Rhinolophus ferrumequinum: one gene and its partners. The protein of the gene in region 3 interacts with the protein of the main gene of each other region in a pairwise test. Links are inferred from orthologs where the notes say so. Each region holds a gene or a part of one and is shown on either strand. Other genes may lie near its edges.

The links.
Region 1: the proteins of TACC1 (region 3) and MEMO1 interact in binary tests that used the Homo sapiens proteins (3 or more experiments, as listed by UniProt). The two-hybrid records come from large-scale screens. The link is inferred for Rhinolophus ferrumequinum from reciprocal best matches to the Homo sapiens genes TACC1 and MEMO1.
Region 2: the proteins of TACC1 (region 3) and LSM7 interact in binary tests that used the Homo sapiens proteins (3 or more experiments, as listed by UniProt). The link is inferred for Rhinolophus ferrumequinum from reciprocal best matches to the Homo sapiens genes TACC1 and LSM7.
Region 4: the proteins of TACC1 (region 3) and CKAP5 interact in binary tests that used the Homo sapiens proteins (3 or more experiments, as listed by UniProt). The link is inferred for Rhinolophus ferrumequinum from reciprocal best matches to the Homo sapiens genes TACC1 and CKAP5.

The regions. Positions count from the first base shown.
Region 1 is NC_046296.1:49,726,365-49,734,334, forward strand, and holds the start of MEMO1 (protein MEMO1), read left to right. Parts: upstream 1-4,965; 5' UTR 4,966-5,383; coding exon 5,384-5,444; intron 5,445-7,970. UniProt on the Homo sapiens protein: May control cell migration by relaying extracellular chemotactic signals to the microtubule cytoskeleton. Mediator of ERBB2 signaling.
Region 2 is NC_046301.1:60,955,949-60,963,132, forward strand, and holds the start of LSM7 (U6 snRNA-associated Sm-like protein LSm7), read left to right. Parts: upstream 1-4,165; 5' UTR 4,166-4,273; coding exon 4,274-4,279; intron 4,280-4,371; coding exon 4,372-4,462; intron 4,463-5,737; coding exon 5,738-5,809; intron 5,810-7,184. Other genes in the region: SPPL2B (signal peptide peptidase-like 2B), read right to left, coding at 157-276, 4,053-4,112. UniProt on the Homo sapiens protein: Plays a role in pre-mRNA splicing as component of the U4/U6-U5 tri-snRNP complex that is involved in spliceosome assembly, and as component of the precatalytic spliceosome (spliceosome B complex).
Region 3 is NC_046287.1:61,008,608-61,016,570, reverse strand, and holds the start of TACC1 (transforming acidic coiled-coil-containing protein 1), read left to right. Parts: upstream 1-4,962; 5' UTR 4,963-5,317; intron 5,318-7,963. UniProt on the Homo sapiens protein: Involved in transcription regulation induced by nuclear receptors, including in T3 thyroid hormone and all-trans retinoic acid pathways. Might promote the nuclear localization of the receptors.
Region 4 is NC_046294.1:14,201,216-14,208,478, forward strand, and holds the start of CKAP5 (cytoskeleton-associated protein 5), read left to right. Parts: upstream 1-4,253; 5' UTR 4,254-4,340; intron 4,341-7,263. UniProt on the Homo sapiens protein: Binds to the plus end of microtubules and regulates microtubule dynamics and microtubule organization. Acts as a processive microtubule polymerase. Promotes cytoplasmic microtubule nucleation and elongation. Plays a major role in organizing spindle poles.

The DNA of each region.
Region 1 (7,970 bases), on a different chromosome or scaffold from region 3:
ACTGGGGAAGTAAGTTTGGGACAGGGAATCAAACCCAGCTTAATGCTGTATTACCTCCCCTTAATGCTATGTTACACTGCTATAATGCTGTCAGGTGGGCTTACATTTTTTCTTTGGGGTGGAGGGATCAATTTGACCTTATGTGTGTATAGTAAAAGCCCTCTTATTGGGCTGGTAGATGAAATTTCAAGTAAGTCACAGTAGGGAATTAAATGACACTGAACTGTTTTTTTTTTAAAACCTAAAAATATCAATCTATGTTAAAATGGCAGTACAGTACTTTCAGTTTTTTGCTCTGGGTATGGGTTCTTTGATTGGAATTCTGTATCATTTTTTTCCACAAACCACTCTTACAAAAGTATGGTCTACAAATTTCAGTTTCAGACTTATTTGAAAGTAGAGTAAGATTATAGACATTTAAGAAGTAATTTGTAGAATCATTTTTTTTTTTTCATTTTTTCCAGCCTGTGTCATCTGCCTTTAATTTGACAGTTGTTTTTATTGAGTCTTTCCAAAGCATTCCACCGGATTTTTGTACAAACACCTTTTGCATTGTATGTTTGTATTTCATTGGTTTATGTAATGTTTAATTAAATTATGTAATGGCAATACCTAGTATAACTGGTATAAATAGCTTGGAGAACATGACCCTTGTTATGCACACAAACTTAGGAGGAGAGTGCAATAGGGTGAGAGTTTCCTAAAAAGTAGAGTCTACCAGCTTCAAAAGTTCAGCTTGTGGTGGGCATTGTTCAGTGTATTTTACTATGGGAGTACAGATCATTGTTCCAGTAAGTTGGTTAAATACAAATCAGTTAAGAAAGTTTCTACTAGTATATTTTGATGAGATGTTTTATGTGCAGCTGGCAACTATAGAAACAATTCCTACTCTTTGAGCACTTAATTTTTAGGGAAGATACTGTTTAGTAAAAAAATACAGAAATTGAGTAAAGGACCGTATCCTATAGAGTGGATTATGTTGCTAGGTGGGTTAATGGGAGGACCAGTAGATTCTTGGAGGAAACAGATTGTGAATTGCAAAAAAGAAAAGCAGTTTGGATAGAAGGTGATCATCTACCTAATTCTGATGAAACTAGAGGAAGAATATTGAACCTTTGTTTAAATCTTATTTAGGAGAAGTTATAATGGGATTTTAAGATTGATAACCCCGTTAGAAACGTGATTGAATGGTTGGATAGCTTAAAATATTGTAGCCAGGTATTTTCCTGGACTGGATTCCACAAAGGCATTATCAAATTGGAAGCCTGATACATATCGTCACACATTGTAGAAATGAGGGACAAAAGGTGAAAGCTGTAAGTGGCTATCACTGAGAATCCACTTGTTTAATCTCTGGATTTAAATTGGAAAGTAGGAAAAGTATATATTAGTGGAAAATGGGTCATCAGAGATAAAAGGGGCAGTCAGTAATGAATAAGAGTTTTTAAAAATTTTATCAGACTTTAAAAAAAACTAAATCTTTGACTAAGTTCTATTTCATTTCTGGGAATCCTAAATACTACAAATAATAAATTTGAAAACAGCTTTATGTACAAAATTTATTCCAAAAAATTGGGAACAAATTTTCTTATAAATCATCTTACAAGAATCATTATATATGTAAAGTTCTTAGCCCAGTGACAGGTACATAGTAAGTGTTTAATAAACATTACTTACGAAGTTAGTAACTTCTAAAGAAGAAAGGGGAAAAACTGACTGATTCTGTTAGAGTGCCAATTTTAATTGAAATGAAAAGAGCACCTTTATACTAAACTTTTCTCTCAACCTTGATTTGTTCAAAACCCTGTGGTATCATCCTACAATATTTTTCTGATATATGTGTGTGTGTGTGTATATATATATATATACATATATATATACACATATATATGTATATATATATATGGTATTTAGTAATTGGGCTCCTCAAGCTGTCAGCAGCTGTGAATAAGTAAATCTAAAAATAGTCCATTTAATGTTGCCATGTAGATTCCAAAGATCAAGCCTAAAGATGTAAATAAATTATTACGTTTCATATAGGTAGTATATGTATATGGCTCAAAATTCAAAAGATACACAAAGATGTACATTGAAAAGGTTAAATCTTCTCCCCGCCCCAACAGTTACTGTTACCAGTTTGTTTTGTATCCTTCTAGAAGTATTCCATATATATACAAGTGTATGAAAATATAAGTACTCATTTTACACAAATGGTAGCATACTTTACACATTGTTCTGCAATTTACTTGCTTGCTTTATTTTTTATTTAACTCTTTACATACCAGTATATTACAGTACCACCTCATTCGTTTTAACGGGTTTACATGTATGGATACACCCTAATTTAACAACTCTTATATTAATGGACATTGTGGTTGGTTGTGATAATTTGCTAGTACAGAAGTAATGTATGCTGTAGTAAATATTTGACATGCTATTTCAGAAGATATGTTGGGTTATTAATGTTGGGTTCTGGGTCTAGTGGTGCCTTATTTATTGAAGGTCTGTGCTTCATAAAGACTCTATTAATGAAGATTTCCTTCTTGCCCTTTACTATTCTGTTTATGGAGTGTCAAACCCAAGTCCCTAGTGGATATAATGGAAATTGTTAATAATAACATGGGAATTGTACAGTATTGCCAAACAGGCTTCTCTGGGATACTAAGTGAGTATTTTTGCATTATATGAATCTTCCTTAATTTAGGAGAGGTGGGTAAATGAATAGTTACAACTTATTTCTTTCAAGAGTCTATCCTTAAATAAAGTAGCCAGAATAAGATGGACAGAAGGAGTAATGAATGATAGGATATACAGAGCGTTCTAGAGATAATAGATGATCCTCTAACCTTTTACTTTGCTTGGCATTGTGGTCTTTGCTGAGTTTGACCAGTAATAAATAAATCTCCAATTGAGCATTTTAATAGGATGTAAGCTTAATTTTAAATTAGATTACTAGTTTGGAATGAGACCTAGGATTGTTGCTAGGAGCAGAGGATAATGATAAACATTTACAAAGAACAGTTTATAAATCATTTCACATACCTTACATAATGATTCTTACAGCAAGCCTGTGACTTCGATATTACTGCTGCTTTCATTTGATAGATGAGAAAACTGCAGCTTGAAAAGATTATATTACTAGATGCCCATGATCACATAGTTGTTGAGTGAGAGCCAGGACTCAAATCTGATTTTCTAATTTGACCTGCTTGAAATACAAAACTTGCTTAGTTCATTGTATCTACTGTTCTCTCCCCTCCTTTTTTTTTTTTTTTTTTTTTGGCCATGGAAACAGAATCAACAATAATTAACTTCAAGAGCTATCACTGTTATCAACACCATATCAACCATATCAACAGTTTCCTTTTTTTGAATATACAATGAAAAGTTTACCATTTCATCAGTTATCACTAAGTTTGGTACTCCAGGAATGGTACCATGGAATCAGAGCCCCAGTTCTTTTTTCTGTTAATCCCTAAATGACTGCTTGGCCTGTCCTTTTTTTCCCCTTCTTCTGCATATCTTAATATTTGGGCAGGTTAGTGATGAAGTGAGAGGGTTAAACATTGAGTAAAAAAACGATTCAGTGGAGGTATGTTAGCCTGATAACAGTATAGAAAAAGTGTGAAAGTCGGAATGTTCCAGTGATTGACCAAGCTTTAAGACTGGAATTTCACACAAGATCCTTGGGCCTTAAAGTTGTAAAGGTGTAGGAACAGGATAGTACTTCTTTTTCTCTTTTTTTAAATGTATGTTGTTATGGCACTAGGGAAACTTGAGTACTAGGCAGCCAGTTATGTGCTTTGGACTCTACCAAGGATCTGTTTAGTGTGAAATTCTGGTACAACATTTAATGGTTTTAACCCCAAATCTTTCATTGAAGATAAGCAACTTTTAGTTTGATATGCAACTTTCATTGAAGATACGCAACTCTTCCTAGTTTTGGAATGGTTTACTTCATAACACTTCCTGGGAGGTCCAAGATATCCTACTTTGCTGTGATTCTTCCATAATTTGAAAGTCATTCTTTGTGGAACACTGGGATTGTTAAAATAATGGAGTATTGGAAACAATGTTGTATGTATGCCTACTATGTCAGGCTCTACATTTATTAAGTCAATCCTAGGGACACTCCTTGAGTATTGTTATCCCCATTTTATAGATGAGAATAACTGAGGCTAGGTATATCACTTTCATCTAGTTAGGGAATTAAGAATGCACCTACATAAACATAACATGAAACGATAAATGTTATTAGTGTCAAAGCCAAGATTAGGTAGTAAGGATGGCCCTGTAAAGCAAAACTAGCATTTTCTGGATGGACCATAGGCACATTACGTTATGCCTGCTTCTACAAATGAACTTCCCAACGTGGCCAGACTTGCGTCCCTAGGAGTGAAACCTTGGGGGTGCGAATGCACTAAGGATTCCTGTGTGTGACGGCTACAAGCACTCCTGGTGGAAAGCCGCATCTGCGTGCCCCTGGTGCGCTTCATTTAAGGAAGTTGGCTGGGGGAGGGGGCTTGCCCTGCGGCTGCGTCCTGCCCCCCTCGCCCTCCCCCTCCCAGCTTCTGCTGCCTCTAAACCCCGGAGAGCGGAGCAAGCACGTTGAGATTCCTCGGAGGGCCTGGCAGCGGCTGCTGGGCATGCTCAGTGGGCAGGACCCGTTAGAGTGGCGAGTAAGGAACCGTTGGCTGTTCCCCCGGTCTGCCTTCACCGGTTCAGGCCCCGGCCCTGGGCTTTTGTGTGCGCGGAGCCGCAGCTGCCACTGCCTCCTCGCGGGGCCATCCGACCCCAGATGCCGTCTGGCCTGTCCGGTTTCCGCCGTTAACCTCGCCGCGCGGCCGGAGGAGGAGCGGGGCGGGGCGGGGCCGGCGGGCCGGCGGCCGGGCGGGCAGGAGGGCCCTGCCCCGGGTTGGAGTGGGTGCGGGGAGTCCCGCGGGGGGTGGGGGGAGGGGGCGGGCGCGGAGTCACGGGGTGGGGTCACCGGCGGTGGCTCTGGGAGGCCAACTGGGAGGGGAGGGGGCCGTGGGGGCGGTTCGGCTGAACCAGCCCCGGCTGGGGAGCAGCGGCGACTCCGGGGGCCGGGCCAGGGCTTTCCGGGCTTCGGCGAGGCCGCCGCGGGCCCCATCTTCCGGCGGTCGCCGGAGTTTGTGGTGATTGTTGCTGCCGCCGCCACCGCCCCGGCTGCCATCTCCTCCTCCTGGGCCGCCGCCACCTCCTCTTCTTCCTCCTCCTCCTGGGCCGGGCCGATCCCCTCCCCGCTGCCGCCTCCTCCTGGGCTGGGCCCGCGGTGTCTCGTCCCCTCGCGGAGCCGCTCCTGCCGCCGCCGTCGCCGCCTCCTCATTCATCCTCGTGCACCATAGGCGGCACAGGCACCAAGATGTCCAACCGAGTGGTCTGCCGGGAAGCCAGTCACGCCGGGAGCTGGTACACAGCCTCAGGTAGGGCCCCAGGCCGGCCGGCCCGCCCGCAGCCGCCGCCGCCTGGCCCCACGCCCGGCTCGCGGAGGTCCGCGGCCCTGCCCCGCGCGGCGGCGGGAGGGACGAGGGCGCGGACGGCCGCCGGTCGCGGACCGCGTGGGGAGGGAGCGGGCCGGAGGCCGGCCTCGCCGCCTCCCCCACCCGGGCGGCATCCCGCCGGGCAGCCTCGGGCTGGCCGCCCTCACGCTCACCCTAGAGTTGGGCGAGAGGGAGAGTTGCCGCCCCGGGCCGCCTGCGCCGTCCCCTGGGACCTGGCTCGAGGAAGGAATGTGCTCCCTGTGCTCCTGGACCCGAGCCTACTTGTCGCCTCCTCCGGCTGCCGGGATGCGGGCGGCCGAGCGCTGCCACCCCCGGGAGGACGGTTTGCCCGGCGACCGAGCCCAGCTTCCCCCACCCGCAGCTGGGCGACCCTCCGCCCTCTTGCCCACGGGGGGACGCGCTCTCCTCCCCTTGCCCGCGGTCCGAGACCCGGGGAGTTCTCGGAGTGTCTCCGTGCACACCCGATTCTGCTCGCCGTCTGCTGGAAGGAAGTCTTCTTCTTTCCTCTGGCAGTTTAGAAAGCGGCAGCATTTCCTCCTGCTCTTTAAGGTGCTCAGCTGTCTTTGAAGAGTGAAGGGTAGTACTTTCCCACGTTGCCAGACGAGAGACAAGGTCTCCGCGTGTGAGATGTGGAAGAGGAGGGCCTTTTCTGGGATTTGCAGCTCCGTATGTTGGGGGTAGGGTGGAAGTATTTCTAAGCAGAGGCTAGAGGTGGCCTCCCAGCTCTTTTGTCAGTGTTTGCATTGTTACTGTCATTCACGAAGGGGGCAGCTGGAGATGGATCAGCACTTTTCCTGAGCAGCCTTGCCAGCCTCGAGTCGCTCAACACCAAGCAGGTGCTGGGACTACCTAACAAATTATGTTTTGAGTGAATTTCGTCTTGTGTCGACACTTTAAAAACATTTTCGAGCTCTGTAAGTAAGTGTAGGGACTTTCCCTTTAATAAAGCTCATGATAGAATGACTGTTTTCTGGGATTACTTTCAGGAGTCACATTTCTGGTAAGTTAACAAAAGAAAGTTCCACTGTGATTCCTAATAGTTTTCAGTCATTTGGTATTGGCTTATCAATTACTGGACTTAACTTTAATGTGAACCGGGTCGTGTTTCCCTTTGCAAACAGTTGGGTTGGATGGTGACATGGTTTGTGAGAAAACAAAGATTTGGAAGAAAATTTATTTCTCTGAGGTTGCTAAACTAGCTCATTAAATACATGCATTTTACTGACTCACTGAAGATTTGTTGCTCAGAAGACACAAAAAAATCATGATGATTGGATTTGCAAGCCTAACAGGTAGCTACAGTTTGTATTAAGCGTATGACATTTAATGGTTACAGTGGCTCCCCTTCATGGTCCTAAAGTACTTTATAAACAGTTAATCAATTCTCACAACCTTAGAATGTCAGTTAAGTTTTTCTTATCAACCTAAGATGTGCGTAAGACCGAACTAAGCCAGTGGCAGAATAGGAATTGAGAAATGGGATTCCTTGGTTACTGGGTTTGTCCTCCAATTAGTGCATTATTAATATTAAATTTATCAATGATTATTACTCATTTCCATGTTGTAAATCACTAAGTTTTCTTCAATGTGTTTTGAAGAGTTAAAAAAGTCAGTATTCACTTTCATGGTCATCTTTGGGTTAAGTTCTTTTGCTTTTGTTTTCTATGCCTTTGTATAAATGTTTTAATTTTTTTTGTAGTTTGCACTGAAATGTGGGCAAATGATTATGGAGGAATTTTTATAGAGTCTTGAACATTCTTTGTGTAGTCAAATAAGGTATATTTCACACTTCGGATTTAAAAGAAACTTCTTCAGTAATTTCAAGTCGAGGAAGAATCCTTTAATCCAGCTCAAAACATTCTGTGATTATAGCTATTCATCATTAATGAACTAAAATTAACAATTTTCTTATCTTTTTAAAATATATTCTATTTTCCTAAATTCTGAATGAAATCAATAATGCCATTTTGGTAATGTGAATTGTCGCAGAGAAATCTTAAAAAAAATTTCAGACCATGTGTGGCGTGTGTGTCTGTGTATGTGTGTGTGTGTGTGTGTGTGTGTGTGAGAGAGAGAGAGAGAGAGAGAGAGAGAGAGAGAGAGAGAGAGGGAGAGATACCTTAAACTTGAGTAATAATGGTGAATTGAAAGCAATTTAGTTATAAAAGCTTATTTTGTATTTTAAAAATAAGTAAAACTAGAGGTAAGTAAACTTCGACTTGGTTTAGTAATTCCTTTAATATTATCCCAGTGTACCTATATTGATAACATCGACCATTGGAAAAATTCTGGTTATATTATTATTGTTTCCCTAGTAAACTAATCCTAAAATGTGTAATAGGAGAACAGTGTGCTCGTGGATTGTCATTCTGTGGTTCCTGCAGCATTTACATTGTGTCCATAGAGTTAAAGTGTTCAGTTACTGATATAAATAAGGGTGAAATCACA
Region 2 (7,184 bases), on a different chromosome or scaffold from region 3:
CCAATCCTACCTTGGTCTCCCAGCTGAGGTCCTCCTACCCCCCCAGCTGGCTTTCTGCAGATGAGTCTCCTAGAGGGCCTCTCTGGACACCGGGGAGGGAAGGGGGACAGCCACAAGACAGACGAAAGCCCGAGCCCGAGGGCCGGCAGTACTCACCGCCTTGCCGAGGTCGTGTGGCAGGTGTGCCCACTGTGGGTTGTAAAGGATGCAGTAGTCCTTGCCTTTGGGGCCCCCCGTCTCAGAGACCACACGCACCATGCCGTACTCACAGGTCACCTGGAGCAATGGGGCAGGGAGGGGTCAGACCAAACAAGGACAGCCATGGGGGTCGGGCTGGTTTCCTCCCTCCAACAGGACACATGGGGCACAATCGTACGTATCTCAGGGGGGAGAAAACGAGGGAGGGTTGCAAGCTCAGGGACAAGTGTCCCCAGGGAAAGCTGGTGTGACCACGGCCCTGCACCCTCCTGGCCCGACACGCGCTCTGCACGCTTCGTGCTCCTGGGGCACATCCTTTTGCAGCCTTGCTGTCCTTGGGCTACATATGCCTCCAGACAGAGCCAGAGAGCCTGCCACGGAGACAAACAGGTAGCAGCTGCTGCCAACAATGGGCACATGATGGGGATGGATGCCAGTCGGTACCTCAGGACCCATACCCATAGCACGGATGCTGCTTTGCCAAGGTGGGGGCGTCCACCTTGATGGGCCGTGGGCCCTGACACCAAGCCTGGGGTACGGACTGGCTCTCAGACAGCCAAGCCCTCCGGGAGCTTCTCATCCTGGCCTGGTTACCTAGTGGTGGTGAAGGCGCCCTGACCTCACAGCCCGGAGGCTGACACCAGGCGCCGGTGCAAGTCCCGGCCCCACAGTCCCCGACTGCCAATGCTCCAGCTAGCCCAAGTCATCTCGGGCACTTCCTTTTGTCACCTTGAGTGAGGTGCCAACTGCCAAAGCAGTGCTCACAGGTACCAAGCTCCAAAGAAGCTGGGTGTGTAGGGCCACTGCCACGAGCACTCACAGGAGAGGAGGGTGGGGCGGGGGCTGCCTGAAGCTGACGGAGGCGGTGTCAGAGAACTTCACTAAGGCAGTATCCTGCGCCCACCTGCCTCTGCTCCCACAGAACCTCCACACACTTCTCATGACTCCTCGGTCCCTTAATAGGGGGGCAGAATTAGGAGGTCCCTCTTCCAGGTTCTCCCCACCAGAATGCCCCCAAGTACCGTGCTCAGTGTATGCCCCTTCCGATGGGACACCCCATGATCAGAGCCACCTCCTGACTCTGGGTCACTGCGGGGAGTGTACGGTCCCTCAATCCTCAGGCCTCATCCGGCCCACCTTCTGTGTTTGCAAATAAAGTTTTATTGGAACATGGCTGCCCTGTGCCTGTATGCAGGGCTTCCGGCTGCTCTCGGCTACCATTGCAGAGTTGGACAGTTGCCCGCAGAGCCGAAAATATTCAGTCTGGGCCTTTCCGAAAATGTTTGCTGAGCCCTGATCCATGAGAGCTGGGTAGTTGGCAAAAACTGTCCTTTGTGTAAAATGGGAATGGGTAGAAACTAGTTCTTTATAAAAAGGACATTTAGGAATACACAAGCACACCTACAAACTTTCCTCCCCACGACTCGCACAACTAAACCTGTGCTGTGTCCAACGCTAGGGAGGGCATGGTTTCGCTTTGAATGTGGTTTCCTTGCCTGCTGTGTTAAAGGAACCAGAAGTTCGTCAAAAAGACCCAATGCTGCACGTGCCCGTGTCCCAGCACGGCCCATCCCCACCTGGAGAACCAGGACCAGCCACGTTCCGACACGTCACAACACCGGGCAGGTCCAGGAACTTCCAGGGGACCTGTGCTTTAGGGTGAGTATGACAGCATCCACCTCTGGGGATCTGAGGGAGGCTAGAGCCCAGGCTGGGGCAGTCTCCCTTCTCATAGGACGTGGTGAGTTCTGGGAGGCGGTGGAGAAACGAGGACCCAGGTGGGAAGCAGAAGTTCTGGTGGAGCAGTAGGGGGCCTGGGCCAGGTGGTGGTGGGGTTAGTGGAGGAGGGCAGGGTGGCACTGACATTAGTTAAGATCTGCTGCTAAGCCTCTTGTTCAGGCCTTTGTTTACACATCTCATAGCAACTGGGGGATGTGGGCCTATTGGGGAAGGTGAAAGCCATCGCCCAGATCTCAAAATGGTAGCGAGTGAGTTTAGGGCCCAGTGGGGAGCGAGTCTATTCGCAGGTACCAGGAAGAACCAGAGCACCCGAGGGGCACCGTCCGGTGTCAGGGTGTGTTTACATCCAGGGGTCTGTTCTAGGAAGAGCAGGCCCCACTGTGCTCCTCACTCTCTCCCAAGACTACATGCTAAGGATAAGCCTCAGCCTGCCTGGGATAAAGTGCAAAGGCCCCAGAACCATGAGCCGTCCACCACTCCCTGCCCAGCCCAGGGAGGCCACATACCCAGCCTGCCCCTTTACCCTCTGTCCTTATCATTTACTCCCGTGGCCCTCGAGCTGAGGGGGAACCCCAGCCTGCCCTTCCAGTGCACTCCCAGGGCCTCCTTTAGAGTGACATCTATCTCAGGACCTAGGCATCAGACCAGCCTCCACACCAGCCACAGTGGACCCCTCACCGTCCCCAAATAAGTCATCCGCTCTCACACCTCCGCCAGCTCGCGCTGCTCCGACCACCGGCAGTGCCCTCCCTCAGCCTGCACCACCTAGCAAACTCCGACTCCTACCTCAGAACAGCCCTGGGGCACCACTGCTTCTGAGAAGCCTTCCCACTCGCTCTGAGGTGTTCCCGTGCCTCTTCATCCCCTCTCTCTGCTCTCATTCAAAACGTGTGGAGAGCTCCAACTCCTGGCCCTCAGATTGCTCAGGCCAGTGAGGAAGATGATTAAACAGGCTCGGGGGAAGTACAGGGGCATCCCGGACAGCTTGGGGGGAGACAACAGCTAAGCTGACACCAGGATGACCCCGGCATTCCAGGGAAACAGAGAAAAAACAAAACAAAACAAAGCAGCTTGCCTCCAATAGAGGACAGCTGGAAAGGGAGGGGCACTTCCTGGTCAGAGGGATCAGAGGCCTCCCAAATGCACCAGGACGCCACCTGAAAGCTGTCATCTGGACAAGACCTGAGACACTTTGAAAGAGATCACTACTGTTGTGTTGAGAATGGACTGGGATGTGGCGGACAAAAGCGGCCACAGGGAGAACGCTAGCCGCCCGCTGGGAGCTACAGCGGAGAGCTGGTGGTGGGCTGGAGTGGGCAGGTCAAGGTTAATGGCTGTGTTTCCACAGCTGTTACGGGCACCATTCCCTGAGCTGCTGAATCCAGGGAGAGGAAGGATTTGGAAATAAAAGATGAGCTTATGACAATGTACATCAGCCATCTCATGGTCAGTCCCCCACCAGCACCAAAGACCCTTAACGTTAAATGACAAAAAAGTAGCATGTTGCGCCTGCATCACCCCATGCACTATCTCGCTGAGTCCGCGCTGTACTCTTATCTCCTTTTGCGGAGGAGCAACTGACGACCAAAGCGGGGGAACTCCTTTGCCCAAGGTCATGGAGTAAAAGTGAGAAGGAAATTCGACCCCCCCTCCAGGGCTGGGCTCCTGGCCGCTCCCCGACAGTGCCAGGCACTGGGTGCCGCGCTGGACAGCTTACCAGAACCCCCGGGGTGGGCGCTGGCATCGTGCTTAAGGGATAACTGAGGCGCAGCCACCAGGTCAAGGCTACGGAGCCAGACGGGAATCTCCGCAGCGGTTAGGACGCCGAGACCAGCAGGGCCCGGGGGACGAAGAGGGGCCCCCAACTTCAGACCCGCATGGAAATGAGTGACGCAGCGGCTGGGAAGGGCTTCCGAGGCGGGGAACGAAGCCGGGCAAGAGACAGGCCCGCAAGGTCACGGCGGGGCTCCGGGCCCGCGGACCGTCCGCGCGGGGGGCTCGGGTCCCAGAGGCTGCCCCCAGGCTGGGCCCAGCGGGGGTCGTGCGCGCGGCCGAGGACCGAGGGGCCGGGTCACCGCATCTGGCGGGGCCAGCGGGGCCGGCGAAGCCCTCACCTGGGCCGCGAAGAGGAGGATGGCCGCCGAGAGCCAAGCCACGGGTGCCGCCGCCGCCATGTCTGCTGGTCCCCGCCGCAGGCGTCGCCAGATGTTTCCCAGCAACGCCCCAGCGCGGTGCGCCGCGCCGCGCAAGCGCCGTACACATTCTGCGCGTGCGTGAGTGGCGGGGTCAAAGGGCACGACGCCGGCGCCTGCGCAGAGTGGCGCGACACAGCAGAATGGCGGTGAGCGCGAGGCTGTGCTTGCGGGGCCGAAGGGGCGGGCTGCGCCAGGGCTGGCGGCGCTGTTCGCCTCACACGCTCTGCTTCTCCTGCAGGACAAAGAGAAGAAGAAGAAGGAGAGTATCTTAGATCTGTCCAAGTACATCGACAAAACGATCCGGGTGAAGTTTCAGGGAGGCCGCGAAGGTGAGGCCCCCCCCACTCCGCACCCTCCGAACGGTTAACGAAAAGTAACACGCGGCGATAGTGACAGCTGATGCCCGGGCCCAGCTTAGGCGCTTGGCCCAGATGACTCGCGCAAGTCTCCTAGCGACGCCGGGAGTTCGGAGGTGGTATACCCCTTCTGCGGCTGGGAAAACTGAGACATGGAAAGGGGACCAAACTTAATCCAACCCACAGTGGGTCGTCCGAGGTTGAGACTTTGCCTCCTGTGCGGTTCTGTCGCTGCAGCTCCTCACTGGTCTCCCTACACCAGGGTTCCTCAGGCTCCGCACTGTTAACGTTGGGGTCCGAATGTTCTAGGTCGTGGGGTCGGTCCTGGGCACCGTGGGGTGTTGAGCAGCATTCCTGGCTTCACCCAGTGTCCCTTGGGGGGCAGACTCGCCCCCGTTGAGACGACAGAGCCCTACAGTGAGACAGACTCCCGGTGTGGACTAGAGGAACCTGTTAAAAACAAATCAAATCTTGTTTGCTGTTCAGCTTTCTGGGGCTCCCCATTGTCCCAGGGTAAGGACAAACCTTTTGTACCTCAGAGTAACAAGTGGAGCTTTCGTCGGCCACCGGGCTGTAAAGGTACTATTTTCTCTCTGCCTGGAGTACTCTTACGAGGTTAACTTGTTACCTGGTTAACTGCCAGAGTCGTTTTCCTGCTCTCAGCTCGAGGCCCTTGCTCTGGGAAGCCTTTCGTGACCCTCCAGCCGGGGCTAATCCCCTTCGTCATAACCTTCTGGTAGCACCTGTCACAGTTTGCAGCTTTATGTGTTAACATGGTGCTTAACTGGAATCTAGTGAAGAGAGGGCAATACAGCGTCTGGTCCCCACCTTTCAGGGAAAATGGGCAAGCAGAGTGCTGACATAGTGGGGTACCTGCCTCCACTAGGTGAGACCAGGGCAAAGGGAGGCCTGGAAGAGGAGGGGTGGGAGGTGGAGCGTTACAAGTAGAAGCACAGGTGGGTGTGAAGGTCTGAGGCCAGAGAGAATGGTTGGGAGAGGCATCAGGGTGGAAGGGTGGGTGGCCTGTCCGGGGCACGCAGACCACACCCCCTCTCAGGTGCCAAGATACATCACTTGGTCAAGGAGCCATAACCTAGGATGCCTATTTGTTGTTTTAATTGAGGTAAAATTCACAGAACATAAAATTCGCTATTTTAATGTATGCAGTTTAGTGGCAGTTGGTACCTGCCTCCCGAATGACTCTTGATCTTACGCCTTTCTGTTTCGTTTTTTGGTCATTCCCACAAGCCAGTGGAATCCTGAAAGGGTTTGACCCGCTCCTCAACCTTGTGCTGGATGGCACCATCGAATACATGAGAGGTGAGCGCAGCCAGGGGGCTCAGAGGCCTCCTTGCCGGGCCTGTGTTACTGTCCCAGACCCACTCACCTGCCGTCTTAGTGATGAGCACGGTCCTTGTAGAGCAGGCCGGTACCGGGTGTGTTTCATCTCCCACCCACCCAGCATTCCAGGCAAGCTCAATAGGCTGTTGTCTGGGGACTCAAAGGATGTGGAGGCGTTTTGTGATCCACCATCACTGGTCCTGAGGCCCGTGCTGGGCACTAAGAGCGTACCCGGCATGGTTAGAAAGATGTCAGCCAGTCTCCTGCTGTCACCATGTGTTCACCCCGGTTCCTGTCCCTCCAAGTCCCCAGACCCTTCGCAGCAGCCCACGGCAGTCAGTCTGGCTCATCCTGAGCCAGGCATTAAGGGGATGCCAAGGCCTAGGAAGGAGGGAGGGAGGGAGGGCGGTGTCCCTCAGGGGACCGTCAGTGTCTTGACACACACGTTACTCTGGTGAAAAATTAATGGAGCCACACATGAGTGTCACGGGGCCAGAGGGGAGAGGCCCTCTTTGAGGGAGAAGCATGGTTTCCGCTTAGCCAATCCCGGGGAGCTTCTCTCTGCCCTCATCTTTTCTCTTCCTGCCTGGGTCTGCCTCCTTGGGTGGATACATTTCTTCGTCTGTAGGACAGCTTCACTGCATGGGGCCCGTGGGGAAACCAAGTCAGCTTGAGTGTGCAAAGCACTTAGGGCCATTTGGCCCTAAGAGGTGTGGCTGCTGCTCCTTCCTCAGAGTGTCTCCTACCAGGCGGCAGACTCACTTGTTGAGTGAGTCTGCGTCCCCAGCGGAGGCCTGACACACCGCACAGTTCCCGGGAGGGGAGGCTCAGGCCCAGACAGCCGTTGTCCCTGCAGGATCTGAGGGTAGAAGACTGCCTTTCAAATCTGCCTGGTTTCAGCGGGCCACCTGATTCTCCCCTCCCCAACATCTTGCAGTAACAGTGATGAGGACTTGTAGTCGCTGTCACCTCCGAAGAGCTCCCCTCGAACTTGCTGTTACTTCCATGGGGTCCCTCTCACCCTGCCATTAACTCCCCATTGACACGGGTGAACGGGCCCCACGGGGCTTCTGCCATTGTGCAGAAACCCAGAGCCCCAGACCAATTTGTATTCCAGCTGCCCTCTGTTGGCTCGGTGCCAGTGCCCCTGTTAGCTCCACCCCATAGCCCACGGTCCCCCGGGTCTCTGTGTTCTCACTTGCAGAACCAGGGCAGGCTTCTCCCCTGAAGGCTGATGCAGGGAGAAAGGCTGCATGTCTGGTTTGGGAGGTATTTGGCCTGCCGCCCGGCCAGCATGTCCCCACCGAGGTCCTGGAGGGAGGGGGGAGGGAATGATCGGGGTATCGTTCGATTT
Region 3 (7,963 bases):
GGAACCCAACCAAGACAATCCCAGAGTTTATCCCCAAGGGCAGCACAGGCTCAGCAGAAGACTATAAGCCTATCAATGACAAAGTTTCTGGCACATAGTAGGTGCTTAATATATCTTTATAGTGTGAATGAATACGAATGCATCAAGATGGATTCTTTGCCTTTTCTCCCCCTCGGACTTCTTTTGTTTTCCAGAACCTAAACCTGATGGCTCAGGTGGGAGAGCTAAACGTGTGCTAGATGCTTTGCACTACTCATCTCCTTCCATCTTTACCACAGCTGGTACTGCATGTCTACAATCTCTTACCCCAGAGACAGGTGTGCTTCATATTTTGGAAAGGTAATACTGCATAATATATGTTATATTAGATAAAACCCCCAGTGGGCTAAGGGGCACCTTGCAATGAAACACGAAAACCCTTTTTGCAGTGAAATGTAAGAATATTCACACCAAGAATAGGCCAGGTCTTGCTGCTGAATGAGTTATGAAATGCTTCTGGTTTGCAGAGTGTGGGAGTTTGGAAATGGTGGACAAGAGACTGTGGATCTACGAAATCCTCACTTTTTGGATGTGTCAACTGAGATTCAGAGAGATAAAGTAATGTGCCTAAGGTCACTCCACTAAGGCAAAGAGTCCGATTACAACACAACTTCATCCAACTCCAAAGCCCATGCTCTTTCCATTGCGTAATTCTGGTCTACTCGTCTTGTCTGCTGCGCAGTACAAAAAGGAGTAAATGGCAGCCGTTTCTGGTGCGCAGCTGCCTAGAGCGATATGCAAGACCAAGTTTATAAAGAGTTTTCTGGCTGGAATAGCCATGCCTCCATCTACTGGACGTATGCAGGAATGACATCTGACCCATACAGAGAAATGAAGTGTATCCGGGTAATGGATTCTAAAGAAGGGTGGCTGAATTGTCTCCCCCTCTGTAACCGTGCAAATCATATTTCAGGAGCCAGAAAGTTGCTCCTAAATTATGCCTACATAATCTATCCTTCAAAATAATAACAACAAGAAGAAACCTCTTTCACCCAATTGCCAGAAATTATAGCGTGAAAGTACCAGTTTCACCATTCTCAGTACCTCCAGAACATCTCTTCTAAAACATGACACTCTCTGGTTTTAAAATTTTCAGTGGTTCCCATCAGTTAGAGAAGTGACTCCAAGGACCTCCTTGCAACCACACTTGCTGCTCCAGCCATTCCCCACATCATGCACTTTTGCCCTCACTGGACCCTTGTCGTACCCGTATTTTCTATAGTAACATCTGGAACTGCCGACTACATTTGTTGCTTTGCTTGCTTCCTCTGCTAGACTCCTAGCTCTTGTACCTTTTAGGTTACCTGGAATATAGAATGGGTTTTCATCATTTCTGAGAGATGAAAAATTAGAGTGAATTTATTTCATTAGCTTAAGACAATCAAAAGTATGTTCATTAATTAAAGGTACATATAGTAAGCATTGTCAGGCTCCTTAAATCTCAGTGGAATTACATTTTAAAAATCTGTTGACTATGAATTTTGGTAGAAGTCAGGATGGAGAGAGCTTGGGGATATTTGTTTCCCTAAAGAAGGAAGATTGTCAAAGAATCACTGTATACAGAATGATTTGTTCCTATAAGTAATGATTCTTTCCTTGAATCTCCCACATCATCTTTTCTTTCCTCAGACAGTGTCCTGAATTCCTCAAAGTAAAACCTCAAAGAGAATTGGCCAAAGAAGCAAGAAACTGTACATGGAATATGGCACTGTAGAAGTTGGAGTGGGTTACAAAATAAACAGATATTGCTCTTATTTTTAAGTTATTTGTATTGTTTTTTTCAATAGCTTTATTTAGATATAATTTACATACCATTTAGAGTATACAGTTCAGTGGTTTTTAGTATGTTTACAAAGTTGGGCGACCATCGCCACAATCAATTCTAGAACATATTCAACAGAAAGAAAACCCCAAAGAAAATACCCTTTAACTATCAATCCCCAAGCTTCCACTCCTGGCATACCACCAGCCTAGCTGCTGGCAGCCTAATTTCTGTCTCCATGGATTTGCCCATTCTAGACATTTCATATAAATGAAATCATAAAATATGCGGTGTTTTGTGACGGGCTTCTTTCACTTAGCATAATGCATTCAAGAATCATCCATGTTGTAGCATGTATCAATACTTCATTGCTTTATATGGCTGAGTAATATTCTATTGTTTGGCTATGTCACATTTTGTTTACCTTTTCATCAGTTGACAGATATTTCGGTTGTTTCCACAGGAGCTATTATGCATACAGCTACTATAAGCATTCGTGTAGTTTTTTTGTGTGGACATATGTTTTCAGTTCTCTTGGGTATATACCTTGGAATGGAATTGCTGCGTCAAATGATACAGGCATGTTTATTTCCTCTCCCTACTGGATTAAAAACATCCCCAGGGCAGTGTTTGAGGCATTCATCTTTTGTCCCGGTGCTATGTACATAGATGTTCAGTAAATGTTCATTGACTGAAATAAATGAATAGATGATATTTGCAATTCTAACATGATACGGGGTAGAGACTTGGGGGACTAGATGGGCAGCGTGAATAAAATTAATCTTTTTTAAAAACTCAAATCATGAACAGTTTTAACAGTGACAAGTAAAATTGCAAAATACACCTCTTAGAACGTCAGCTCCCATTTTGTATAATGAGAGCAACAACATCTTACAGAATTGTCCTATTAAAACTGTTTTCGGGGCGACCAGTTAGCTCAGTTGGTTAGAGCGCAATGCTCCTCACACCAGGGCTGCCAGTTTGATCCCCACGTGGGCCAGTGTGAGCTGCACCCTCCACAACTAGATTGACACAACGACTTGACTTGGAGCTGATGGGTCCTGGAAAAACACACCTAAAATAAATAAAAGTTTTTTAAAAACTGTTTTCATGTGAGGAGGCCTCAAACAGACCTGGCACACACAGTCAGTACTCAATCAATGCTCTGTAGGCAATTAAATTCAGAGGCCCCTCATCCACAAACCAGTTCAAGCTTTGGTCTTCTGTGAAATATTGTCTACCTTTGACCTTGAAAAGACTGGGTGTTCATTTCACCTTCAGCTCTGTCGTTTGCTGCACAGTGTGAGATCATTATGCTTGTGTCTACATTCGTGATATCAAAGTAGCTACCGTGTTTCCCTGAAAATAAGACCTAGCCAGACAATGAGCTCTAATGGATCTTTTGGAGCAAAAATGAATATAAGACCCAGTCTTATGTAAGACCCGGTATTATATTATATTATACCCAGATTTATAGTAAAATAAGACTGGGTCTTATATTCATTTTTGCTCCAAAAGATGCATTAGAGCTGATGGTCCGGCTAGGTCTTATTTTTGGGGAAACACAGTAGTTTAACGAGTAAAAAGAGGTGACTAATCCAGTGAATCTTGCTCTCAAGGTAAGAATTAGAAGTGCCGCCTCACCAGTTCTGCCTGGCAACATCTCCACATCCCGGTGGTGAGCTGTGCTTGCCGGAGCTGCAAGCGCTACAAGTCTGTGATTTTTGACCTCAATTGAGGGCACAATCAATTTTTTAAAAACATGTGTTGTCTATTGTTTACATATCAAATAGACTCAATCTGTCTTCCTCTTTTTAGAGTGTGACTCTTGATTATTTGGGGACAAAAACCAAGTGAGGAAGTTCTATGTTTATTTTATTATTATGTTTAAATATGTTTTAAAAATAGGCATCCAGTTAAATTCTTTTAATGATGGGTTTAAATTTTGTTTATTGGAATTATTTCCACACACACTAAAATGAGTTTGAAATGTTACAATCTCTAAATTTCAGAATATAAATGCATTTCAATTACTTTTAAGTTCAGGGACTCAAGCTAGAATGAAAAAACATCACTTAGGTCAGTCCTGCTTCACTGATTAGATAAAAATAATATGTAATCAGTACATCAATTCAACAATCTAAAAATTACTAGCCTCAGTCTATTATGTATACAGTGTAATTTTTGTAAATGAAGGATACTTCTAAAACATTTGAAACTTTCTAATCTGACTAATGGGCAAAAAATTCTTTTTCTTATAATCTTGTTTACACAATTTATTTATCACCGACCATCTTTTAATTCATAGAACAGAGGAGATATTTTCATTTCCTGTTTGTGAACAAATCTCTAATTAGCACTGTGAGAACTACCAGGTTTTATTGCAGGGGTCAACAAATACCTTAAAGGTTCCCAATTTCTGATGTCATTTGACAATTTACAGATATGCCACCCTTCAGGCGATAACCAACGAATGAATCTTAGGATGGCTTCTCATCCTCATGTATCCCCACCCCAGTTCCTCCCAGAATTATAATCAGGAGTCTTCCAGCCCCATTCCTGGGGGAGCTGAGGAGGCAGAGTTTGTACTCTGGAACTGCACCCCATTTGGGAAAGGTAGCCTATTCCTGTATTAGCATCATAGAAAGACCTAGAACTAAGAGAGGGCCTTGAAGACAATCCTTACCCCTCCTGCCACACATCACAGACTGCACTGCGGCCCTTATGAGCACATGCAGAAGGCTGACCTGGTCAGAAACCTACCAGACCATAGTTTAAGGGTATTTTCACTACAGATATTAAAAGTTATTATTGTTATTTTTCAATCAGAAGGGGAGGAAATAGCCAGAAGGATGTGGGTGTGTATATTTCTTGGAATCCAGAGGTTGGGGGGGGGGGGTGGAGAAGGGGGAAGGGAATCCATGAAAAAAAATGTCCCCAGTACAAAAGTTGGCAAAACAAGTTGCTCTTTAAAAAAAAAAAAAAAAAAAAAAGCTGAACTGTGTAACAGGAGAAATATTTTCTCTCACAAGGAGAGAGTGTTCCTGAGCCAAGTTTAGACAGAGGAAAAATTTTCCAGCATGTCAGGAACGAAGCTGACGTTCCATTAAGAAAAAAAAAAGTGCTGGAGGAAATAGTAAGGGGGAACAGGCACCAGAATTCAGACGGAGCTTTAAATTCCAGACGGGCCGCAGTTGTGAGCACTCGAGAAGGTCCCCCTTTGAAAGCAGACTCTAGTTGATTTCTCTCTTGAGGTCCCAGCCCCAGTGGACATTTCCTGTTCTGTCTCTGGAAATTCAAGCCCAAAATTACAAAACATCCTTTCCCTGTGACCAAGTGCTCGGTTCGGAGACCATCCCCTCCCCACGTCAATGATCTCAGTCCTGCCCTCTGCTTCCTTCCGCGGAACCCCTCCCTGACCAGTGGAGCTCGGCTTCCCAAGGAGAGATGATGGATTTGCTATAGCAGGTGGTGCAAAAGCCAGAGGGAAACTACCTTGGAACCACCGCCGAAGAGGTAGGAACCAGGGTACTGGGCGTTCTTGCTATCGTTTGACGTTTATTGAGCAAAATGAGTTGCTTGTCCTTTAAACCTTGGGCTGAGGGCATTTTCGCTGATGGGTGTGTGTCGTGGGTGGGTGGACGCAGAGGCTAAAGTCAGGCATTTCTTTTCCCACTCTCTTTCCAAATTTAACTTGAATTCCTGGGTCCTTGGAAGCACACGTTTTGTCTGAGTTCTGGTGTGGAAAGAGCTATGGCAGAATTCTGGGAATTCCCTAATTTTCTTTGTTTCTTTTTCTTTTCTTTTTTTTTTTTGTGGACTCCCTGGAATGTCAAGGAGCATTCGTAAATACAATACCTTCGGCTTTGAATAGATTCAGAGAGAAATGACTGAAGTGGAAGGGCTAGAAAAGGCATTTTGCCACCATGAACTGGGAGCCCGCTGTTCCCCAGGGCCTGAGGATCTGTCCTTCCCTCTCTCCTGCCCACCGTCATGTATGGGAGCTGTCCCTCCAGGCATGGAGATGTGGCACCTTGAGCCACATCTGTACATTTATGGGCTCCACTGTGTGAGGCTTAGCTGCCTGTGGCAGAGATACCTGGTGTACCCAGAAAGCTGCATGTGGCCCTTGGCTTCCTGAGGGACGTGCTCTCAGCTGTCCTTGCTGGAAGGCTAGCTTTGGCAACACATGTGCTGACATTGGACTGACTCAGAGAACTCAGCATGGCTTCTGCACAAGGAGTACTTGAAAATTTATGAAGCAGTCATAAATGAAGCATTTCAAATGCCCTTTCTCTGCACTCCTATGGCTTTGACTTCTCTGAACCACACATTTTGCTCCTTAGTCACATGCTGCTGTGCACCATTCTCTAACAGGCTAAATACGAGTGGAAGAATGAATTGAACAAAACTAGTCATAACCTATTAGTTGGTGATCCCAAGACAGCCACTAACTTTTGTTGAGCACTTGCTGTATGCCAACCACCGTTCCAAGGGTGGTGGGAATCATCATCATCATCACCCCAATTTTACAGATGAGGAGATTGAGGCTGGAGACACAGAACGTAGTAAGTGGCCGAGGAGGGATCTGAACTGAGGTAGCCTCAGTCTGGAGTCCATGCTGCCATGCTCCGATACCAGGAAGACTGAGGTTTGAATCTTGGTTCCAGCATTCTAGCTGGATGACTTTTGACAATGTAAATGTCCTCAGTTTCCTTATCTGTGAAATGAGATAGTAATAACCCAACCTCACAGAGGTGTTGTGAAAGGTAAATTAATTTTAAAAGATTATTTTACTGAAGCAAGTGAACAATGTAAGCGCGTTCTTCCCATTCCTGAGAGTGTGCACTATGAACGTGGAGGGATCCCTTGTAACTAAAAAGTCTCCAGGTTCAGTAGGAAGCAGCAACAATGTCTTGTTAGGTTTGTACCTTCCACCAGGGACATTGGAGCTCACTTGCCAGCTAGTGCAACACTAGCTCACTAGACTCTAAGCTCCCTAATGCAGGGATGGTATCTTATATACATTTGTTTTTCTTAGAAAAATGTTTAAGTTGTGGTCTAAGGACATCGTTGCCCTTCGGAAAGGGCGCAGGGTCCCCTTTGGGGAAGAGTTCAACCAGGAGCCTGTGGGTGCTCCAGGAGCTTCCTCTCCCCACTTCCAACAAAGCATCTTAACCTGACATATGTTGGGGTGTCAGTTGAAAGAACTGCTCACCTGGAACAAGGAATGTTTTGTGTAGGCTGAAAATGACTGCTTATGGAACGGAGTTGATTTATAGATGGATTTCTAGCTTGCCCCTGTCTAGGCTCTTACTTTGCCCTCCCCATCCGCCTCCTACTTAATGATCATCTCCTGCCCTGGGGAGCCCACTTGGAGGCGTGTGCCAGCCAGGCTCAGGAGGTGAGCTCTTCCATCTCCGGTAGCCCATCCTCACATGCAGGGGTAGACAAGGGGCAGAACCCCAGAGAGCTTAGATTACAACCTGGCCTCTCTCTGAGTCTTTTCCGAATGTGCCCTTCTCACTTCTGCTCACAGTTACGGACTGCGTGCTCAATAATCGTGATAGCGATTATTGATCTTCTTTAATGACAACAGCTTACTTATTGAGCCAGGCATTGTGCTGAGCACATTACACAGATTAGCTTATGTACTCCTCACAAAAGTCCCGTAAAGCCCCCTTCGGCATGATCCCCACTTTGCTAATGAAGAACCTAAAGGTAGAGACATTAAGTGACTCAAGGACACCCAGTCAGTTAGTGGTGAAAGTGGGATTGGGGCTCCATCCCCTGAGTTCGAGCACACTGCCTTGAGTATTTTTGCAGCTCTTTTTGACAGAGGTAAGGGGGCTATTGTGTGAGTTGAGTTATTTTATATTTTTGGAAAAGGATGTGCTCGAGAATAGGCTGGGAAGAACAGAGTGAAAAGGCCAGGACAGTATGTTCCATGGAAGGAAGGGTGCCTTTGTGAAAAAGTGGAGTCAGCATTCTTGTCCAAACTGTATCCCTGATAAACTTGACCTCTTCTGGAGAGGTTGTAGAGTTTAGGGAAAAGAGCCAGGTCTGTAGCCAGACTCCCTGGGTTCAAATCCCAGCTCTGCCACACATATCAGCTAGATCATCTTGGGAAAATTATCAAAATAAGGATATCCTATGTAGAGG
Region 4 (7,263 bases), on a different chromosome or scaffold from region 3:
GTCTTACTGCCAAGTACATACTCTGATTGAGCTATGCTGGCCTTCCTGTTTCTCAAACCTGCCAGGTACACTCCTCACTTAGAATCATTACATAGATATTTCCTCCGATTGGCACTTTCTTCCTCTAGATATACTCAGGGCTAACAGCTTTGCCTTCAAGTCTTCGCTCAAATGTAATCTCAACGAAAACTACTCTGACTACCCTTTATAAAATTATAGTCTTTCCAACCCCACTTCCCAATTCCTTTTACCCTGTATTCTTTTTTCTTTTCCTATTGCACATATTGTGTAATAACATAGTATATATTTATATGTTGATTGTCTATGTGTCCTCATTGTAATGTGAGCTCCAGGAGAGGAGGGATTTTTTTGTGTTATCTATTTTGTTCATTGATTATCCCAAGTACCAAGAACAATCCCTGCACATACTAGGTGCTCAATAAATATTTGCTGAATGAATGAGTGAATAAATTAATGGAATCAGACATCTATTGCCTACCTTCTAGAAGGGCTGCACCTAAACCATCTAAAACAAAAAAGGGATTTTGACATCTTGTTCTAAAACTCTCTGGAACCCACACTCCATACGAGCTTTATTGAGCAAATTTCAGGTTACCATCACCCTCTCCTTAAATGTAATCTTCCGTTTATTTCTGATAATATTTAAATAAAATAAACATGCCAATGATCAATGACTGAAGAAGACTATTTCTATATATTCATAGCCCACTTCTCACAGGTTACTGTGACCTTTTTGCTCTGATTGGCTCTTCTCTCCTTCCCCTACCTATGAATCTGTCGTCATCTACCACCACAATTTTATTTTTTCACCCTACAGAGGTGACTCACAAATCTATATCACTTGAGTCCTATTCTCTGTTCCCAGCTCTCATTCTGTTATTTCCTAGGCCTACTTAAATGATTCCATTTGAATGTCTCATTGGTACCTAAAAAGTAAACAGGTCTAAAATTAAACTTGCCTTCCCTTTGAGACTGGCTTCTCCTGACTTTCTACTTCCATCTGGGCAATCACCACCTACCAGTCCCTAGGCTCAAATCTTGGAATACTCTTCGACTCATTTCCCTAAATGGGCCCCACCCTCACTTTTGCACTTAATCTGGTTGGTTGCCAAATCCATCACTCTTTCTTGAATCTGTTCTCATCATTTCCAGGGCTATTACCTCATACCAGACTAAGTAGGCTCCGAATCTAATCCATTTTACACAATCAAGCTAATTACTTTTGCCAACGTGCAATTTTGATTTTGTCACTCCCTTGCTCAGAAACCGTCAATAGCTCCCCATTTCCTACTTAAATAAAGTATGAATTCCTTACCCTAGTATTCAAGACCCTGTAAGAATTGTTCCTAACTTTCTCTTTTAATCTTGTATCCTACTACTTCCCGAAATGAACCCTGTTCTAAAATCAAAGCCACATGTTCAATTCCCTATATACAATGCACTTTCTTGTTTCTTTCTTTGCCCCGGCTCCTACTTTTCCTGCTACTGGACGTTCTCCCTTCTCCTTCTACTATAAATAAATAAATAAATAAACAAACAAACAATGGTAAAAATTTCATTTCCCTCCCTACCAAGTCACCCTATTAAATAGTTTCTTGAAATTCCAGAAATGTTTTAACCATTTTCAGGCATGCACACACATACACATACAGTGGTACCTCGGTTTTCGAAAGTCTCTGTTGACGAACATTTCGGTTTACGAACGCTGTAAATTTTATGGATCTATGGTATCATTAGATAGTAAAATTCATGCTAAATTTGCAGTTTTAGGGGTTGATTTTAAAGGTCTGGAACGGATTAATCTATTTTGCATTACTTTCTATGGGGAAACTGTGCCTCAGTTTTCTAATGTTTCTGAACTAGAATGGTCTTTCAGAATGGATTTTATTCGAAAAACCGAGGTACCACTGTACATATATGATAAAGTCATTCTATATGTGCTTTTCTGCAACTTACCTTTTTCCCCCCTTCTTTCACCTCCCCTGACCTCCCCAACTCCAGTTCAAGCTGTAGGTTCTCAGTCTAGTTGTGTAGGACACAACTCATGGCCCATGCTGGTATTATGAGCCTTGCACTGCAATTGGTCGCTCACCAGTCATTGGTCGGCCACACACAGCAGCTCACAGTAGTGCTCACTGGCTGCTGGCCACTCATGATGGCTGCTGACCCGACACTGGCCACCAGCCGCTCCTGGCAGCACACAGCAGCCCCTGGCATGGGCACCCAGCTCCAGGGAGAGCTGTTGTTCACAATCTTAGCTGTAGAGGGCGCAGCTCACTGGTGCAGCTCACTGACCCATGTGGGAATCGAACCAGCGACCTCAGCGTTAGGAGCCCGCGCTCCAACCACCTGAGCCACCGAGCCTGCCTCCTTTTTTCAATTAAACAAAATGTGTGTATTTTCCTACACCAGCACAGGTTAACCACATTCTTTTTAACAGTTGAATATACAATAATTTATAAAACAAGTTCCCTATGAATGGACGTGTAATTTCCAAGGTTTTCTTTTTTTCCTCCCCTATCTTAAGCAATGAATATCTTTGGACGTTTTTTTTTTTTCATACTTGCATAGAGCTATAGGACAAATTCCTAAACAGTGGCATTAGTGGGCCAAAGGTTATGTACATTTTACATTTTAATAACTGCACCAGTTTGCACCAAGTATACTCTCCGTCTGGGGAGACTTTCTCCTTAGTCCTTTAGTTCTTCTGGCTGGTGGAATAATTCAGATGGCATACAGCAGATTAACAGGAGAAAATCAGATTTTAATACATGCTCACAGGGAAGTCACATAAGGATGATAATTCCAAAGACAGTGAGGCAAAATGAGGTATATATGTCATTTTGGACTAAGGAGGTGGAGGTAGGCAATTCACAGGTAGGGAGAAAGAGCAAACATTTGGTAAATAAATTCTGGCAGGGCCACCCAGAAACAATGGGACAAAGGGGAATCTAGTGGAACATATTTTTCTTGGATCCTCTCCGTCTGCCATACTTCATTCATATGTGCTAAGGTGAATATGCTAAGGTTCCCTTCCTGAAGCATGTTTTTCCATCCGAATCTCTTCGGCAGGTAGGGTGGGGGTGTGAGGGGGGGAGGTAAAAAACTCTCCCCGGATTTTTGGGGCTTTAATTGTTTTCAGCTCGAAATAATCTGCATGCTAGGGTAGCACATTCTGGGGAGACTGGCTCTGGAGCCTCACAATATTCTTACCAACAGTGAGTTTGAGTGTCTGTTTCTCAAAATCTTGGCCAACCAACGGTTGTTAAACTTCTTCATCTTTGCCAAATTGATAGATTAAAAAAATTATTGTTTTATTACTTTTATCCATTCCCTTTCTATTTTTTAACCTGTTAGGTAATTACATGTTCTTTAAATCCCAGATTAAAAGTCCATCCCCTTCACAGATCCCTCCTCATCAAATTTCTCCCATTACTAAGTATCTACAGCTTTTCTGTTATATAGTCTTAACTGCTTTGAATTTTAGTGACTACTCTGTTTTGTTCCTCTGACCAGTGTCCTTTGCAAATTTCTTGGAAATGAGGACCTGATCTTATTCCTAGAAACACTGAATGTAGAGCTGAATAAGAATTTTAGAGGTCATATTAACCAAGCCTCTCATTTTATAAATAAGAGGAGTATTAAGCTTTTGCAGAATGTGTTACTGTTCAAAAGGCCTCTCTTAGACATTCATTTAGTTATATTAAAGCCTCACTAAGCTTTTAAGGAAAACATCATTATCCTGTTTTACAGATGAGGAAACTAAATTCCAGATGAGGAAATTAAGCTCCAGATGATTTACTGAGAAAATGGTTTACACAGAGCAGGTCCAAGACCAAACCCAGCATCCTGCTTCATTTACTGCTCCTTCCATTATACCCCAGCTGCTTCTCTTGTTTCCCTCATGCACTTAGCTGCACAAATATCTGCTGAATGAAATGACTTTTTAAAAAATTGCCAGGTGTTGACAGCCGCTTAAATATCTATAATTTAAAAAAGCAAGCATGCTGACGGCTGGGGATGCACAACTAATTCTCCACACACCTTTAGCCCTTCTTTGCCGGGTGGTCGGCAGCTTTCGCTCCAGCGAACCTCTTCCCCACCAGACAGGCAGCGCAGGTCCCCAAGGAAACAAGATCGCGCGCGGCTCCTTTAAGGCTGCGGGCGGCGCGTGCCCACTGTCCCTTCAAATGAACCAATAACAGGGCGATGGGCGGTCCGTCGAGGACCAATAAACAACGAGGACACTGCGGGGTGCGCGGCGGCCCAAGCGGTTTCAAACGGCTTAGAGCAGGCCCCTTGGTTCTGACCCGGCGGAGGTGAGTGGGCAGTGGCCCCTACCCACCCGCGCAGGCCCCTGGATCCCGGCGTCACGCGCGCCGAGGGTCCCTGAATCCCGGGCGGGGGGCTCCACGGACGCGCGCCTCCCTCTCCCCACGAACCCGGCGGGTCTGAGGCGGCAAAGCGGGGCGGAGGCCGGGGGACCGGCAACTGGAAGGGCGGGGGGCGTGGGCACTCGTGTGCGGCCGAGGCCGGGGCTTGGCTCCGGATGACCCGAGCGCGCCGCGGCGAGGTGCGGCCGGCAGCGTCCTAGGGATGCGGGAGGCGCAGGGCCGCGCCTGGCGGCTGAGGGTGTTCCGGGACTGGGGCGGGGACCCTGTGAAACGGCCCTGCTACAGTGTCCATCGCGTAATTGTTAAATGAATGAATGAGTGAATAAGAGCCTATGAGGGCCGTGGTGGTTGCGCAGGGCCTGGTCGCCTCAGAGCGTGACAAGGACAGCGGTACCGGGCCCTGCCTGCGCACCTGGTCCCCTCCGACTTGCTGCGATTTTAACAATTCCGATCATACTGCTCCGCCCTTACGCCTGCTTCCCCTCTCCAAAGGTGTCAGTAGAGTTGAGGTATCTTTCCAGCTCTGAAGGTTTAAGGGACGAATACAATCACCAGCAGTTCACGTTGAGCAGGCCTTGGTACTTGAACGAGATTCTTACTTTTTCGCTCTTACTCTTTGGCTGTTGAGAGAGCTACCCTGCAATCGTGGTAATTGTCAGGCAGGATTTAAATGCATCCCGTTTTGTTTCTGGGATAGAAGATGATGAAAGGGGTGTTGCCAGAGTGGCTAATGTGTGTTAGAAAACATTCGCGTTGTGAATCTTAACTGAGTTTTTTATTTAGCATCAATAGAGGATGAAGTGAATTTTGCAGAACTTGCCCCAAATTTATGCATGGCTCTAATTTAATTCTCGTGGGAACCAAGGCATCAAATCTTGGCCCAGAAATGCTGCCTGTCTTATTTTATACATAATTATAGTAATTGAAAACTCATTTTTAGAGAGGTGAACCCCTCCTATCTCCATTTTAATCACCCTGAAAAGTCCTTCTTTGACCTAAAGAGCCAATAAATTAAGGTACCAATCTTTTGAAAACTTTAAGAAGTCTAAAAGATTTGGACTTTTCTTAAGTGACTGGACAAACTTTAATGTTTTTACAAAATTTAATGATATAGAGAAGGGTGAAATCAATTAATTTTGTCAGTAAAAATTAAACCTAGTTGGTAAACTCATGAGAAAAAATTAATATAAGTTTTTAAAGTCTGTTCATTCAGGCAATGGCAGGCAAAGGTATTCCATAACAATTAACATACCTTATACTTTATTACTTTTAAAGTTTTGATCATCAGCTTTGAATTACGAACAGTGGTATAGCCTTCTACAGCTGACAGCTCAGTTTTAGCAGCAGAGTTTTAATTGCAATAAATTTGAGTACCTTACTATTATAAACACTGTTCTAGGTTTTGGTGAGGCAATTAAAAATAATAAACATCTTTAACAATGCCTTAGGATATTGTTAAAAATCTTGATGGGGAATGAAAACTTTCTTTATATTGGAGTAAAGTAAGGTTCTCTTAGGTTACTTTGACTTAATGGAATCTCATTCAACAAATATTGAAATTGATGCCTACTGTGTGTTAAAGATTGTTCTAGAGTCTGGGAATAAATAGACTAATGAACCAGAAAAAGACAAAGCTTCTGACCTAAGGGAGTTTGACAATTTTATCTCTCAAACAATTTGCTTTAGCAAGTTGTAGTTTCCATAACCCCTCTGGCCCAGCTCTGATTCTTGAACAATATAAATGCTCAACTACTTCTAGCAGTGACTAACATTTATTGAATACTCACTGGGTACCACGTTTTATCATTTTTAATCCTCATAACTTTTTACAGATGAGGAAACTGAGTCTTAGAAATGTTTTGCAACTTCTTCAAGATCATTCGCGTACAACAGATAGAACCTGAATTTGAACCCAAGTTAGTCTATGTCCAGGGCCTTTGCTTTTAACCTGTGGTTGTATTATATGAAGTAATAGGATCTGTTAGGGATACTTCTATCAGAGACATGATGAAATAGGGATCATAGGCGTGGTAGTTTTTAGAGGCAAGATGAAGCAGTTCAAAATACAATATTTACCATATGGGAGATGGATAGCTGTGACAGTGGGGAGGGTACAGGGGAGCATAAAATTAAGATCTTGATCTAATTATCATTAATGGATTCCTGGTGGTCAGTGTTGGAGAGATTTGAGATTCTTTTTTTGTTTGTTTTTCTATAATTCAACCTTTCTTTTTTCTTTTTTTTTTTTAAATTAAAATTTATTGGGGTGACAATTGTTAGTAAGAGATTTGAGATTCTTAAATGATTCTCATATTCTTACCTCTAGATTTCAGAATATGTTACTTAGTTCATTCCAATCAGGGCAGTTGTCCTATCTACTTGATATATCTCAAACGCATTAAGCTTATTCTTTTTGGCCTTTGAGTTTGCTGTTCTCTTCTGGAACTTCCCACCCTGCTCTATCCCTGCCTCGAGCCTGTCTTTGTATATAGGCTCCACTCAGGTCTCAACTCAAATATCATCTCCTTAAAGAGGGATCTGCTAAGCTTTCAATTAGAGTAGCCCTCTTGATCACTTTTACCTTACTTTTCATTTTTATTTACTTCATAGCATTTATTGCTCTCTGATAGGTCATTTATTGTTTGCTTGTATTTTGCCTGATTTCCTCACAGAAATGAAAGCAGAGCACAGATTTTCCCCCCCTATCTGTGAATTGTTAACCCATACCCCTATGGGAAACAACTTTATCAACTAGAGTACAGTGCTTTTGTGCAATTCCTTTTGCCTTTAGTCTTACAAGACCCCATTCATTTCTGAAATTACCTAGGTCAGCACTTCCCCCCTCCCC